2 linked regions of the Oreochromis niloticus genome follow. The protein of the gene in region 2 purifies or fractionates together with the protein of the main gene of each other region. This does not show direct contact. Links are inferred from orthologs where the notes say so. Each region holds a gene or a part of one and is shown on either strand. Other genes may lie near its edges. The genes, in order: nelfb and nelfa.

The links.
Region 1: the proteins of nelfa (region 2) and nelfb purify together in Homo sapiens (affinity purification with mass spectrometry; 8 studies listed by BioGRID and IntAct, counting the BioPlex papers as one, with this or other methods). This does not show direct contact. The link is inferred for Oreochromis niloticus from reciprocal best matches to the Homo sapiens genes NELFA and NELFB.

Annotation. Positions count from the first base shown.
Region 1 is NC_031977.2:1,194,187-1,202,315, forward strand, and holds the start of nelfb (negative elongation factor B), read right to left. Parts: upstream 3,030-8,129; 5' UTR 2,992-3,029; coding exon 2,890-2,991; exon of another isoform or gene 2,578-2,889; intron 1-2,577. Other genes in the region: ectonucleoside triphosphate diphosphohydrolase 2, read right to left, coding at 4,532-4,738, 4,835-4,969, 5,242-5,361, 5,744-6,016, 6,514-6,741. UniProt on the Homo sapiens protein: Essential component of the NELF complex, a complex that negatively regulates the elongation of transcription by RNA polymerase II.
Region 2 is NC_031967.2:22,302,170-22,309,524, reverse strand, and holds the start of nelfa (negative elongation factor A), read right to left. Parts: upstream 3,187-7,355; 5' UTR 3,068-3,186; coding exon 2,858-3,067; exon of another isoform or gene 2,837-2,857; intron 2,486-2,836; exon of another isoform or gene 1,930-2,485; intron 1-1,929. Other genes in the region: nicol1 (NELL2-interacting cell ontogeny regulator 1), read left to right, coding at 5,277-5,388, 6,300-6,388. UniProt on the Homo sapiens protein: Essential component of the NELF complex, a complex that negatively regulates the elongation of transcription by RNA polymerase II.

The sequences.
Region 1 (8,129 bases), on a different chromosome or scaffold from region 2:
AGTGAATGCTGGGGATTGGTGCTTGAAAAACTCAAATAAACAGTTACTGAATTTGTTGCAAGTGAATCTGAATTTGATTAAATCACTGATTTGCTGTAGCTCTGTCATAATGGTTGGTATCTGGGGAAATAATAAAACTGCCTTGGCATGTTCCCAAGCTGAAAATGTTCAAGATTGTTAAAGCTCTGATAAGATAGACTCCGTTTAATGCAGAAAGTTGAACTGGCAAATCTGGTCAAACTGACAAAAACAGAAACACAGGATATTTCTATTTTAATTATGTTATATTTTAGTTTACATTGTAACACCTCTGAAAACCTAAGGTATTACCTATGTTGTAACTTGACATTCTCCGCCCTATAAATCACACTTACTTCAGCACTGTTCATTCCTCCTCCAAATTTCTAGCTACTTTTTGGCTGCAGTCTTTTAATTTATCAGTGAAAGAATAACAATGATCTTCTCAATATAGGAAATAATAAACAAAGCATCATTACAAGGCAGCAAAGACTGGTGAAGCTATTGGAAGGAACATGAGGGGATGTACAAAGAAGTGGAAAAACTTGAGGGACAAATGTGTTTGCTCCAAAAAAAAAAAAAAAAAAAAAAAAAACTGAGGACAAAAAAAAGAGACCCAGGAGGGAAAAATGTTGGAGCATTTTATTTCAAAGATTCACCGCAGATGTGGACAAGATGATAAACTTTAACTTTTCTACTTTTACAATCATTTATTAAAATGTGTTTCTTATTTTACTACAGCCAGTCTCTTCATGACCTGGACATCAGTGAGATCTGCTCGGTGGATCCCTGCCAGTCAGTTTTAAACTGCAGGCAATCACTGGTTCAGTGTGTTTCACAGTCACTGGACTTCTTTAAGTTTCTTGAAGATGTTTTGTTCATGATTCTTTCATCCAAAAAGCTTCTTCAGTTTTCTGAAGTAGTTCCCTGAACTGAAGAGGCTTCTTGGATGAAAGGTGATCCTCAAGAAACTTTTATTTCCAAGCTCCTAGATTACCATGACCTGGGTGACTGAGAACCTACACAGACTCTTCTATGAAACAAACTACACATGCAACGGGCCTTATAAGACAGTGATTACATACTCTCGTGGACACTGCATGGATAGTGCTCATCTCTTTGACTGCACCAGACTATTACATCTGTGCCATTTTAAGGACAAGCGACATAGCTGGAATTTACAAATCAGCAGGGGCAGAAATGTGCAAAAGATGGAGTTAGCCACATCACCTGTTAGTTATCAATCCAACGTTCTGAACCACGCTGTTTAGTGCCATCGAGAGACACCGCATGCTCATATCTTACCAACTAGTCAATCACATGTAAAAGAAATCCTGCTTTATCCTCCATAGTTACTCTAATGGAACATGAATATCAGGCTGTATTAAATAAAACTGAAACTAGATACTGAGCCCATGAATCCCCCAGTAAAGTGTCTATTGAGGCCACAAATCAAAGAAGTTTAATGGTTGCTTTCCCATACATGTCTATACAACCAAAGGTATTGCCCCAAGGTGGCAATGTAAAAGAATGCAGGTTTAGATATGGTAGAGCCATTACTCTTAATCCCACTATACAATGTTCCTTCCTGTTAAAAACAAGTTTTTCCTTCCCACTGTTGCCATAAAGAGTGTCTGTGACATCCCTAATACTTAAGGAAGATTGACTTGACTACAAGTCTTTTTAAATATCTTTTTTTTTTTTTTTTTTTTTTTTTTTTTAAATGGGACTAAATCCTCTTAACCTCTTCTATGCAAAAATAATAACTAAATAAATAAAACAAAAATAAAAAATGCACAAATCACGACAGGGGCAGGAATCTGTTTTTTGCTGCATCTCCATGGGGCCCATTCAGTCTGGGTTATCTCCTGAGCACCGATATAAAACCGAAACGCCAAATAGTACGATTACTGGTTTCACTTTTCACATTTTCACATGACAAAAGTATGCCCATTTTTCATATACAGTCTATGGTTTTGTCCTCAAACTGTATTACCTATTTAAGACAATAAATAGCAGTTCAAACTCTCTAAAGCTCTAAGTTGTCGTCGACTTATATCACCTACTCTCAAATCAAATCAAATCACTTTTATTGTCACGTCACATGTGCAGGTACACTGGTACAGTACATGCGAATGAAATTCTTGTGTGCGAGCTTCACAAGCAACAGAGTTGTGCAAAAATACAATAACGTAAAACAAGCAAAATATAAGAATGGCTAAATCTGAAAGTAATAAATATATGTACAATATATAAGAGTATATGCATTACTGGATGTGTATACTAAATATGTTTTTCTACGTGTGTGTGTGTGTGTGTATACATATTTTACAAATTAAATAGAGTAAACAATAAAATAAAATATATAAAATATACAGAGGTTGGTAGTTGGAGGTAAAAAAAAAAAACAAACACTCCAAACACACCACAAACGAACACCACAACAGAACGGCACACGTTCTGTGCATTGTGAGATTACGCTCAAAGATTGTCTGCCATCTCCAATCCTCTCTCCTGCTTTCACAGATCTAGCGGGAGAGATCGGAATAAAGGGTGAGAAGGCGATGAATATCCTGCATTTTGATTAGTTTTAAACGCAGGATATTAGCTCAAAAATATGAACTTGAAGTGGAGAGCAAATTTCATTGACCATTTCTCCCACTTTCTCTTTTTGCAATCTGTGTTGTTTTGTTGTTGTTTATTGCTACAACAGTGATGAAAATAGCTTAGTAGGAAACAACGGAGAACGGTGACTAGCTTTGGATGGTTAAGAACATACGTTATCGTTTGTTTATCAATCCGGGAACGCTTATTTACCGTTAGTCGAAATGTACACTCTATCACTCGAGGCACTAAGCTGTTGGGTGTTACCTGAAACTGATCGATGGCTTTCAGTGGCTCTGTGCAGTTAGTGAGAGTTTCTTTAAGATCCTCTCCGTTGGATATACCAAGCTCAGGCAGCCCCGCGAACATTTTGCTTTCAGTTTAAGCATCAATTAAATGATCTAAGTCCAAATGATGTCTTCTGACGGGAGTTTAGTCAACAAAAGTAAGTTCCTTCTGCAGAAAACAACACATTCGCCTTTTTGAGAGCTTCCTGTGTTGCAACTTTGTAAACACTCCGCCAGAAACATCCGCGATGAAACGTTCCAGCGTGCTCTGCGGTAAAAGGGCGAGCATCAAGGGGTTCGATTGCAAGCTGCGGAGAAGCGCGAAGTCATAACGTACAAAGAGCTGATGTAAAACCGAGTGTTAAAAAAGTGTTTTACTGTCTCTGCTTTTCATACTGTGGTTTTTTTTTCGCGGTGAACTCAGCTGACGCTGTCTGCTCTATTTCAAACTCCCTTTGCTCCACCGTAAATTCGCCGTACTCACAAACTTCTCAATTGAAATACATGGGAGGATTCAATTGTGGCAAAGATCGTGGTAGAAGTATAATTACCTCGGAAAAATACATTTAAAGTTTTATTTAAAGTCTCATATAAAGCCATTTTAAAATGCTTAACTAGAGATCAAAAAGTACGTTTGCAGACTCATACAAAAAAGTTTGAACATATTCGAAAAGATTTACTCCATCAAAACAACTAACAACTTTTTTTTTTTAAATTTAAACATAACACATCAGTCGGTGGCACGGTGGTTAGCACTGTTGCCGCACAGCAAGAAGGTCCTGAGTTCAATTCCACCATCAGGCCAGGGTCTTTCTGTGTGGAGTTTGCATGTTCTCCCCGTGTTTGCGTGGGTTCCCTCCGGGCACTCCGGCTTCCTCCCACCGTCCAAAGACATGCAGCTTGTGGGGATAGGTTAATTGGATAATCGAAATTGTCACTAGGTGTGAATGATTGTCTGTCCCTGTGTGTTGGCCGTGGGACAGACTGGCGACCTGTCCAGGGTGTACCCCGCCTCTCGCCCTATGACAGCTGGGATAGGCTCCAGCGCCCCCCGCGACCCTGAAAAGGATAAGCGGAAGCGAATGGATGGATGGATGGATAACACATCAGTCTTCAAAAGCCTTCAGTTAGGCACATGGCTATTTTGAATGACACATTAGCTGTTAGTGGTGTCTTAGAGTATGTATGCCACAGTTCTATATTGAACCTTAAGTTGTCCCTGATTTGTTCAGAGATAGTATGAGTGTGTGATAGAAAATGCATTCATAGACTGCCTGAATGTGTGTGTGAATGGGTTATGTACTATAGCTTGTAGTAAAAGCTACTTGCAGTGCTCATTCAAACTAGAAAAGTGCTAAATAATGACAAGTTAATCACAAGTGGTATTGTATTGCACATTGAGTCTGGAACATTTAAAAAACAATCCCATTTATTTTGGATTTTGTGCACACTGACATGAGTAAGCTGAACATTTACTGAAATTTGTGAATCTAAAGCAAAACTTGTAAGCTTTACTTTAAAAATGATTTTCGCTACATAATATAAAAAGCCAAAATTAAAAAGGTGTTTACTGAAGGTTTTTTGCCTGAGAGAAATTTACTTCAACTTGGCTATCCTTGCTCTCAAACCATTCCTTCATTAGCCTTTGTTTTTCTGTAGACAAAGAGAAGGTATCCCAGTGCAAAGAAGATAAGGATGATGGAGAAGAAGAGGATGCCTTTCCAGGGCCCTATGGGCAGGGCCTTCATCACTACAGGATTTTCGGCTGGAACTAGATTGGTGAGGTTTAGCATGTAACCCAAAGCCCAGCCTACAGATGCTCCTCCGGCCTACAGAAACACAAGAAGAGGTGCAGTGATATCACATCATATTGTGGATTCTATCAGTTTCTAAATTCCAGCAAATCATTTCGTTTCACCTCTCACCTTTTTTTCAAAAGAAATAGAAGGAAGGAAAACCTCATCAAAATGGTAGCCCTGTGTTAAGAGCACCTGGACGAAATTGGAGACAGCACAGACATTCTTCATGTATTTCTTATCCTGCTTTGTCCTATTCGTCATCTATAAGTAAAAATACAATGTGTGAGGTTTTGTATTATGTTATTTAAAGCTCATCGGAATCAGAGAGATTTTATCAATCCCAGAGAGAAATTGAGTTGTCAAAGCCGGAAATATACAACAAACATCAAGCACTCATAAAAAACAAGTGCAGAAACAGAGATATTGATAGATATATAATAGATAATATATGTAGATATATGTCAACAGTCACTTTAGAGCCTTAGAGTAACATGGTGAGGATCAACACGTCTCAAAGTCTTTATGGACAGTACCTCAGAGATGCTCATGCTGCAGACGCGCTGGACAGCCTCTGCAGTTTGATTAGGAGACGTCATATCCATGTTGGTGAGGGTAGAGATGTATTTGTGAGTGAAGTAGAAAGCAGAGAATGCCTGTGGAGAAGAAAGAATAGTGCAATGGATGAAGGTTAAGTATCCCCCATCTGTTTTTGAAGACAGAATTAAAAATGTGACCTGTAACCACGAAGGAAGCATTAGTACAATCCATTAGGTCCTGATACAAATGCCTGTAATGCATTCCATTTTTAGTGTTTAGGAGTATTTTCAATCATCAATCAATCAATGTATGTGGGAGTGTGTGTGGGTGCGTGTGTGTGTGTGTGTGTGTGTGTAAAGAAGAAAGGATATCAGAAAGCAAAAATTAGTGCTCATTCAGTGAAGAGCATACATAACGTAGCAAATGAGTCTACGTTATGCTTCTATGCTTTTTTGCCTCAATATAGGATATTTTAGACAACATCTAAAAGCCTCTCACCATGAATCTTCCTCTCAAGCTGGGCTGAAAGACTCCATTAAAGGAGCACTTGGAGTATTTGCAATTCTCAAAGGAGAACATCTTCTTTACATTCTCTAAGCAGTTTTGGTAGTCTCCTGTGCCCACAACTTTTACATTCAGTTTCAGGTCAATCTTGTCTGGTTTGGAGTCCACAGTACACGGAGAATCAAAGACGTCCTTCCCCAGGATGACACTTTCGGTGAACTGCTTTGGATAGCAGGGGTGGAACACTGTGCTGTTTTGATAGTTATCCTTAAAGTTAGAAGATTAAAATTTTATTAGAAAACATTTTTTAATAATTTTTTTTACAAAGATCATTTCACCATATAAAAGCCATCCATAACACAGATACTGCATTGTTCTAAGGTTCCTCGTAGCAACAACTCTGATTTTCCTAAAACTGGTAAAGACTGGTAATTTAATTTGGTTAACAAGCTAGCAGTTCTCCTGTTCAATCTTTATGGCAAGCTTTCATCTCTCTCTTAGCAAGAATGTAACAATATGATCCCAAAATGTAACAAATGTGAACTTAATCTATTTAGTAAGTTTAATGGAGATGTGTTTCAAACATCCTTTTTGTTTAGTAGGACTGCAGCAAGACAATAACATGTTTACATATGCTGTTTTATATGGTCTTGCTATCTGAACTTCTCAGTTGTTAAGAAGATACAGAATCATTATAACAGGGATGATTACAATTGAAATGGTTGCCATTAACAGTTAGAGTCTTTTAACTTGTTGAACAGTACCTTAATGAGATGAGCCAGCAGTTTCCTTAAATACTGGTCTTGGCCGTAACACAGGAAGCTCTGGGTGTATAGTCTGTAGGTTTTTCCAAAAAGCTTCAACTCCATTGTGTTACTTTTATTCTCCACCTTTTCAGAGGTCTCAAAAGTAATCTGGGTAGATGCTCCTCCTAAATCCAAAGCTCCAATTGTCTCTCTGCCTGGATTCATCCAGTGACCTACAAAACCATACTGGGTAATAAAAAAGGACATGACGCCACATTGGAATTAGAATCACTTAGAATCAACCAATAACCAGTGTTGGGCAAGTTACTTTGAAAAAGTAATTAATTATAGTTACTAGTTACTTCTTCAAAAAAGTAACTGAGTTAGTAACTGAGTTACAAGATTCTAAAAGTAATTAATTACTTGAAAAGTAACTATTGCGTTACTTTAAAAAAATGTTTAACCCTGTGGGGTCCAGGGTAGAATTGGCCATTTTTCACTACTTTTGATTTTCCCTCTACATTTCACCTTTAAAAACTATTTACTTTGCCTTGTTTGGTATCATCCTTTTCAGCACAACCTCACATGTCTGAATTTACAGTTATGTTTTCATTTTGACATACTGTATTAACACAATTGATCTAAAATCAGACAAAAAACATAAAATCAGAGTAGAAAAAAAGTTATATTTTTTTACAACCACAAACATGTTTAATGAATCATATTTCATAACTTTAAATGCAAATATAAATTGTCAATTTTAAAATCATATGCACAAGTTTTGCAAACAACAAAGTTATTTGCAGCCATTTACCTTTTACCCCTTTTTTTAAATAACCATTTCAAACTATTTACAGAACAATCAGCTGTTCTACATTCAATAAGAGGCCACACAAATTATTTGTGCCACTCCAAATATTTCTGTCCACTATAAAGGAGAACATCACAGCCTGATTCCTGCAGGTCTGACAGCAGCAGGTGTATCACTCCTGTTCTCTACCTGGAGACAGCAGTAACCTGATTGTTCTGACACACAACACAAAACTATCCACAACACTACACACTAACTACGCAAGACAACACATTAACTACACACTCCAAACACGCCAAACGTCACAAATCTCTCACATCTCAAAACTCGCTCTCTCTCTTTTTCTGCTGTCTTTCTTTCTCTCTCTCTCGCCGTCACTCATAAAACTTCCCACTCTTCCTAAACAACCAAATGTCATGTTGCCATATCATTTTTTGATTGGTCGACATTTTTCCACCAACACAAAAGGGCAGGGGTTTTTTTTGTTTGTTTTTTTGTTTTGGTTTTTTGCTCATAAGCAGAGAGTGCTTGCTAGCGCTGTCCTTAGACAGTAAACGTGATGAAACTATTCAGGAAAAAAAACACGCGTATATATTGTTTATCATGACTCTGGTTTTACGTGGCCTATCAACACAATTTAAAAACTGGTATATATCACCTTGTTGCTTTGTCATCTTGAAGTGGTCATATGATTGGCTTACCACGACTACTTTATTCTTCCTCAGTCAAACAGCAGCACTCATGCGATTGTTTTGTCCCCTTAGCTCCAGGTGTTGTGCCAAAAAGTGTTCGTCGGGCAGAAAGTGACTACCATCCACGGGAG
Region 2 (7,355 bases):
TTAATGGCAGCATTTCAGCTTTTGAATACACACATTAAAAAGAGACAAGGGGAAATTACAGTTTTTAAGACAATTTCTTTTATAGTTTCCTCAAACCTGATGACTTTAGGCACTTCTAGCTCACACCTGACACACATCACCTCGACATTTTACAAATTGTATGATAAATCGTCACTCTTTTACAGACAAAAAAAGTCCAGATTAAACAAACCCTCAGAGCGTGACTGAAATAATATAAAAGTATTCTGAATACTAGTTATTATCCCAGAGTATTTCCCATTTTTCCATCTTTTGAATTCAAACCTCCTCCATCTCTGGAAATCCAGCATGAATCAACATTTACATAACTGCAATTTCAAGACTTTAACTACTGGATACAAAGAAACCTGATTTTGTGCAGTGATGTTTATCAAAGAGAAGCGATCCAACATGTAACACGAGGAGGACGCCAGCTTCAACCAACCATTAAATGCAGTCCGGTTAATAGCCACATGACAGAGTTAAGGCTATAGACTCTGTCCACCTCCCTGCACTTATGGGTTCAGTGTTGCCAAAATAAACCCTGTTCCAAAATACTTTGCAAATGATATTTGTCACTGACTTTCCTCCATAGTCGATGCAAATGACAGTCAGTATAATTCAAGTCATCACCCATTAGAGCAACCTCACAATGATAACTATGTTTTTGCAAAAATAAACTCAAAATGCACTGTTCCAAATGATTATGCCGTTTCAAAACCTTTTATTGGTTGTAAAGAAATGAAAATTGGTCATTTGTTCAATATGCAGCATTCTGAGGTCATATTTACTGAAATCAAAAGCTGTTTCACTCAAAAACATCTCAACAGGCCAAGTTACATGTTAACATGGGACCCCTTCTTTGATAGAACCTTCGCAGTTCTTGCATCCATTGAACTTGAGTTCATAGATCTTTTCCTTTAGGATGCTCTAAGGTTCTCAATAGGGTCGAGGTCAGGGGGGGATGAGAACCACGCCATGAGTTTCTCCCCTTTTATGACCATAGCAGCCAATGCCACAGAGATATTGTTTCCAGCATGAGACACATTGTCATGTACCCTAGCCCTAACATCCTCTTCTGTCACACCAACCCTGTGCATAACCAAACACCCCACGATGCAATATCATAATTTTTAACATTTTTTAATTTGTTGAGTATTGCGTCAAAATATATTGTGATTTAGCACATTTCTTTAACTGCAAATTTTATCCTCAAATTTAAACTTTCATTATCAGTTGTATCCTACAAACAGCTGGCAGCAAGTAGCATTGCGCTCATTGACAAAGAGTCATTCAGACTGATGGCAGCATGTTGGCAATCTGTCTGTGTTTATAAGCTAGGCAGCACTTATTTGGAAACCTTGATCAGTCTCTCTAAGAGTGACTGGAGTCAGTCCAAGCAAGATTGGGACTGTCTGCAGAAAGGTGGCCTCCTATCAGGGGACCTGTGCAATCTCCTTGTGATCAAAAGTGGTCATGAGTGCAAGATCCTCAAGCTGTGAGCAACCACAAGTTATAATCTGTTGCATGCAATCACCAGGCAGACATCAATTATTTTTAAGCTGTAAGGAGGTAGCTCTCCTATTTTTACTCCTGTGACTGAGCCATTAGCTTGCTCTCAAACAGGACGCAGGATGCAGGCTGAATGTGTCCAGTGTTGGATGTTTTTTCAGTTGGACCAATTTAATGGAAGTTTGCTCAGCTAACGTTATCTCAGGATGGTGGTTAAAAAGAGCTGAAGGCATTTAACTACAAAATATTAATATTTGGTGGCCCTGTGTCTATGAAGTATCGCCTTTTTCTCCCTCCACACCTACTACATGTCCTCCTTCACTACATCCATGAATCTCGTCTGAGGTGTTTTCTTTTTCCTCTTGTCTGGCAGCTCCATTTTCAACATCCTTTGTCCAATAGATCCACTCTCCCTCCTCTGCACATGTCCAAACCATCTCAGCCTTGAACTCAATCGATTTCTTTACATTTCTGTCTAAATATTAACATTTTCAGCTCGGTCTTGTGTGTTTTTGTCAGAGCCACCTTTCTAAAACATTCATCATAGCAAGACTCGCTACCATCTAGTAAACCTTCCCTTTCACACTTGCTGCTCTTCTTCAAAACCACTTAATTAAAATAAATATTTGCATTAAAACAGCCAAGAGCTTCCGTTGTTTGCATACGGGAAATTACTCCTGAGCTTAGCCGCCAATTTTACTTAAACAACACACTTGAATGCTTGTTTTAAGAAACCCCATTAATAATTAGCTTAAAAATTTTGCATTTGTTAATGAACAGTCTGGCTATATAAGCCGCACAGATGACGGCTGTGTATCGTTTCCTGCGGGAGGAACAGGTGATCAGTGGGTCCGGGAGCTAGTACCGCCCTTCAGCCTAACGCCAGCTCTCAGCCGCCCATCCCACCACAATGTCCGTGCGAGCTCCGCTAGGCTAGCGTTGCCCGCTGTAGCCGGTAAACAACCGCTGGAAAAACAAATACGCGCAGGGGTAAAGTCAGCTCGGGAGTATCCTGTCGTTAGAGGGTAAAAGTGTAAATGTGTTTCGTGCATTGAAGCCTGGGTTTAAAAAAAGAAAAAAAAAAATCGGGAGCATGTAGAGGAAATAACGAGTTTGCCGCTTCTTCGGTTAGCCCTCGGATAAACATGGTAGCATAATGTTAGCTGGAAAGGTTTATTAACATTGTTAGGCTTTTGAAAATGCCACTAAACCGTCACAGTGACCTCGGTATTTTTTAAAATCTAGCGCAATTATCGGCTCGTTTCTCAGCCGTGAAACCGAGGTAACAACTTATCGTACCCTCCAGGCTAACAGCGAGCTAACCTACCTCGTCAACGGTCCTCCGCGGAAGGTGCAGCATCCCGAGCAGGAGTTTCAGCTTCACCGGCGGCGACAAGCTCGAAAAACACAGCCGTATGTTGTCGATAACCGACACGGTGAGGAGCGAAGCGATGCTCGGAGGCGTCCAGAGCTCGTCCGTGGATCCTAGTTTGTTGTGAAGCCACAGGCCGGTGTCGCTGTCCTTCATCGACGCCATCTTGGAAAAAGAAGTGTTTTGAGTTCGGGCATTTTAACAGGCTACCTAAGAAAACAGCAGTCAGGACCCCGCCCATAACCCGGGGTTGGGGGGGCAATTGTCACCGCAGAGCCGCGAGGAGAGCGGGTGAAATCCACCTTTAAGTGTAGAACTGTTACACACTGTGTGGTTAATAAAGTTTTAAGAAGGAAGGTGTAAACAAGGGCAGATGCGGGAAGTCTTTGTTACCTCATGTAATACAGTGCTACACATCTGCCGAGCAGAGAAACATCTGTATTGTCATAGTAACAGGTTATTTCTACACTACACTGGCAGCCACACTTCTCACTGGTCCCCGATATTTGCTATGCTGTTTTTACTGCATTTAAGCAGTCTGTTATTTTAAATCACAGCACATCCTACCCATTTAATCGATGTCATATGTTTGTTGTGCTTCACTTTCCCACCTATAGGATGAATAAAGTATATTATTATTATTATTATTATTATGTCCTCTTATCTTAAAATATGTCTTCTTCAGGCTGCGACCTTTAGGAGTCACCACAGCAGTTCACCTGCCACCGTATCCCTGATATCTTCCCCTGTCACACCAGTCCTCCCTCACTACATCCATGAATCTTCTCTGGGGCATTCCTCTTCAACATCCTTTGTCTAATATATCCACTATGCCTCCTCTGCACATGTATAAACCATCTCAACCTTGTTTCTCTAACTTTGTCTCCAAACTGCTGAACCTGAGCCATCCCTCTGATGGATTCATTTCATCATGAGTCCATCTTTTTGTCAGTGCCACTGTTCAAACCACACATCGTAGCAGGTCTCACAACCATCTTGTAAACTTTCTCATTCACTCTTGCTGCTATCCTTTCACTTGTCTCCACCCACTCCATCACGCCTGCATTCTCTTCTTCACCCCTCTCGTGCACTTGTCTTTAGCTTTAGGTGGTTGACTCCAGGTATTTAAACTCATCCACCTTCAATTTCTATAAATGTTCAGCTCTCCACATGTTTCCCTCTCATTCACACACATGTATTCCTCTTCTCCCCTGTGCATACTTCCACCTGCTCCACACTCTCTCCATGGATCACAATGTTATCTGCAAACATCATAGTCCACAGAGACTCCTGCCTGACCTCATCTGTCAGCCCGGTAGTCACCACTGCAAACAAGAAGGGGCTCAGAGTCCATCCCTCATGTAATCCCTCTCCCACCTTGAACTCATCCGTCACTCCTACTCCACACCCACCACTCTGTCATCATTCATGTCCTGTACACTTTCTTTAGATCCACAAAGACATCTTAAATGAGCTTGCTTCACTAATTCGTGCTGTGTACAAGAATTATATAGTCAATCATTATTTGCTCTTACTTATTACCTGGGATATTAATTGGATATGTATCTATATCTTTACACTGTATAGTCGCCTCATTTAATGCCAGACTATAAACATGTAAGTGTCAAAAACATGAAGATTCAGTGTGCTGCAGTCTGACTAACTGTTTCAGTTTAGATTTATATTAATGTAAAAATAGGTCAATGGAAATACACAATTTTAAATATTGGAATTATAGCTGAAACTGTGCATGTATGTATATACTGCACTCAATTAACGGGATAAAATGCAGTATTGATCTCTAAAATTTAGGTAATCAAATGAGGTATCTTTAATAATAATAACTATACTGCTTTTTACATTGCGTTTTTAAGTAAATATTGCTCTGGCTCTCTCTCTCTCTGTTATCCTGATAATAAATGCATGACCTATCCATCAATAAACTCTACGGGTAAACTGCCCATCAAGGCTTTTATTTCTTTAAGTGCTGTCACCGGAAGTCTCGTTTCCGAGGCCCCCCGAAGAAAATTTCAGCCAACCAACACGCATGCGCACTAATTTAATCTCCATACAACAGTGCTCGGTGGGCATCTTGCGCTCGTCTGGTGATCTGCAAACCATCATCGGCCGATTGACGGTAGGTTACCGTGCAGGTGGTCAGATAAGCGGTAATTACTCTGTGCGGGCTGAGCTTTTAAACACATACAAACATTTACTGGTTGGAAACTGGAGCATTATCTGAACAAAGCCCATCATTTTCCCCCCTCATTTGATTGGCTGACGGCCGTGTAGGACATTTTCTGCCCTTTAATTTATACATTTTGCCTAATTGTACTCTCCAGATCAGAGGTGAGTAAGTGATCGCACCGTCGCCATGGCATCCAGCGGGTATGTGCAGGCAGTGGTGCTGCTGCTGGCGCTGCAGCTCGTCTGTGTCGGGGCAGCTGATGCGGATCATGAGACGGGGACTGTCATCCCTGCCGAAAGTAGGTGGATTTAAAAATTAGATTAATTTTTTCCCTCCGCCTGTTGAGTGCAAGTTTTGAGATGTTTAGCGAGAATGTGTCCGCCACGGTGATCTTTCCACAGTCTAATGACTGCAGGTCTCAAAGGGGTGCTGTTGAGGGAATTGTAGGTCATCTTAATTAATGTATGCTTGGATCATGAAACTGGGCCTCCACTGCTGCTTAAAGGCACACATACCGAGCAGGTTAGAAGGAAAATATCCATAAGGTTATTTATTGTGTGACTTCATGAATGCTCAGGTAGAAAAGCTTGATTATGTTGTTTGTAAATTAAAAGCTAGATGAGAAAAACATCTAGATGAACACTTACACAAAGCTAAATTCTGTATATTTGTTTAAAAGAAATCACACATTTTCTTCAAATAAATTATCAATTCAAAGATGACAAATCACAGCACTCAGTGGCTTTCTGCTAGAGACTAATCAGTCTCATTAATATGGTTTATGGTGCCTTTATGTAAATGATGACTCTGGGTCAGGTCACTGATTCTCTACTTCTACTCAATACATTGTATAGTTTATGTCTGCAGCCACAAGAAGACGCCAAATCAGCATTAAATTGGAGTCTAATTTGATGCTTTTCAGTCATGCACATTTACAAAAAAAATTCAGGCTCAAAATGTGAAAATCCGTGAGCGTGTGTGTTCTGTTGTGAAAAAAAGCAAAATTCACAGTCATTTAGAGGTCATTGAATTGCATTCACATTAATCGTATGAGTGATACATTCACCTCATAAATCACGGCACGCTCCTCCCCCCTACATAATCTGCATTTATAAGCATCGGTGATACTGGCTCTGTACTAACTTGGTATCTCACACCGCTGATCTAAACCCATGTCTTTGTTTCTGAACTCATTTCTGCTGTTTCCAGGTCGCCCATGTGTGGACTGTCATGCCTTTGAGTTTATGCAGAGGGCGCTGCAAGATCTAAAGAAGACCGCTTTCAACCTAGATGCCCGGGTAAGTGGAAGCTCTCCTTTCTAGTTTCCTTTTCATTCTAGAGACTACTGCAGAGATTCATGCACCAGCTGATGTATTTCATAAAATAACTGATCTTCATGAGCCTTTTTGGGGGGGTGGCGACTGCTTCTATCAGTTCCCATATTGTAATATACTAAATGTGACATTATGTGGTACGCTTTAGTATATGTTAATGTCTACGTCTGCATTTTAGCGCAGGGTTAGTCATTTTTCATTTATTTCCTGGTTTTTAGATATGAAAATTGTGGAGCGCAGCTTTTAGAGATCGCTGTGCTTCATTTTCCAAACGACCTCAGACACCCACACACTCCCATCACTGTGCCAAAGAGCAGTCATAATACCTGTGCCTATAAATTCCTGTGCTGCAAAGAATAGGGATTTTTTTTGTCGCTACAGTTTTGATTGTTGTGAAATATTTTTGGAACTTGTACATTTTACACTTTAACTCCAAGCACCCCGAGCTTACGTATGAATTGTAGTGCTGATTTCAGTTCAGGGCACACATACCTGCTTTTGGATCAGCTGATATGACTTTTATTCTCTGTTTATATAGTTTGACCCAAGAAATGAAGGTTAATGCAACTGAGAACAATCGCTGCACCCCTCGATTACTCTGACAGACAAGGAGATAAGTTAGATCCAGCGGCTGTGACCCAAACAGCATGGCCAATTGCCAGGAAGGGGGGGTAAATGGATTGTTCCAAATGGAAATGAAGGGAAAGGTCTAGGAGGAGAGCCTAAAGCTGAGTTGAAGGTGGAGGAAGGTAGAGGCTGGAGACAGAGAGGAGGTGTAAGATGTGCAGAGCTGTGCTCAACTTAGTGAACAGTCTACAATCAGGCAGCGTGCTGGAGCTGGTACGATTTATTTATGGCAGGAAGTGCTGAGCGGCAGCTGGTGACCCGACATCCCACGCACCTCACTCCACTCCTGTAGTCAAACACAGGC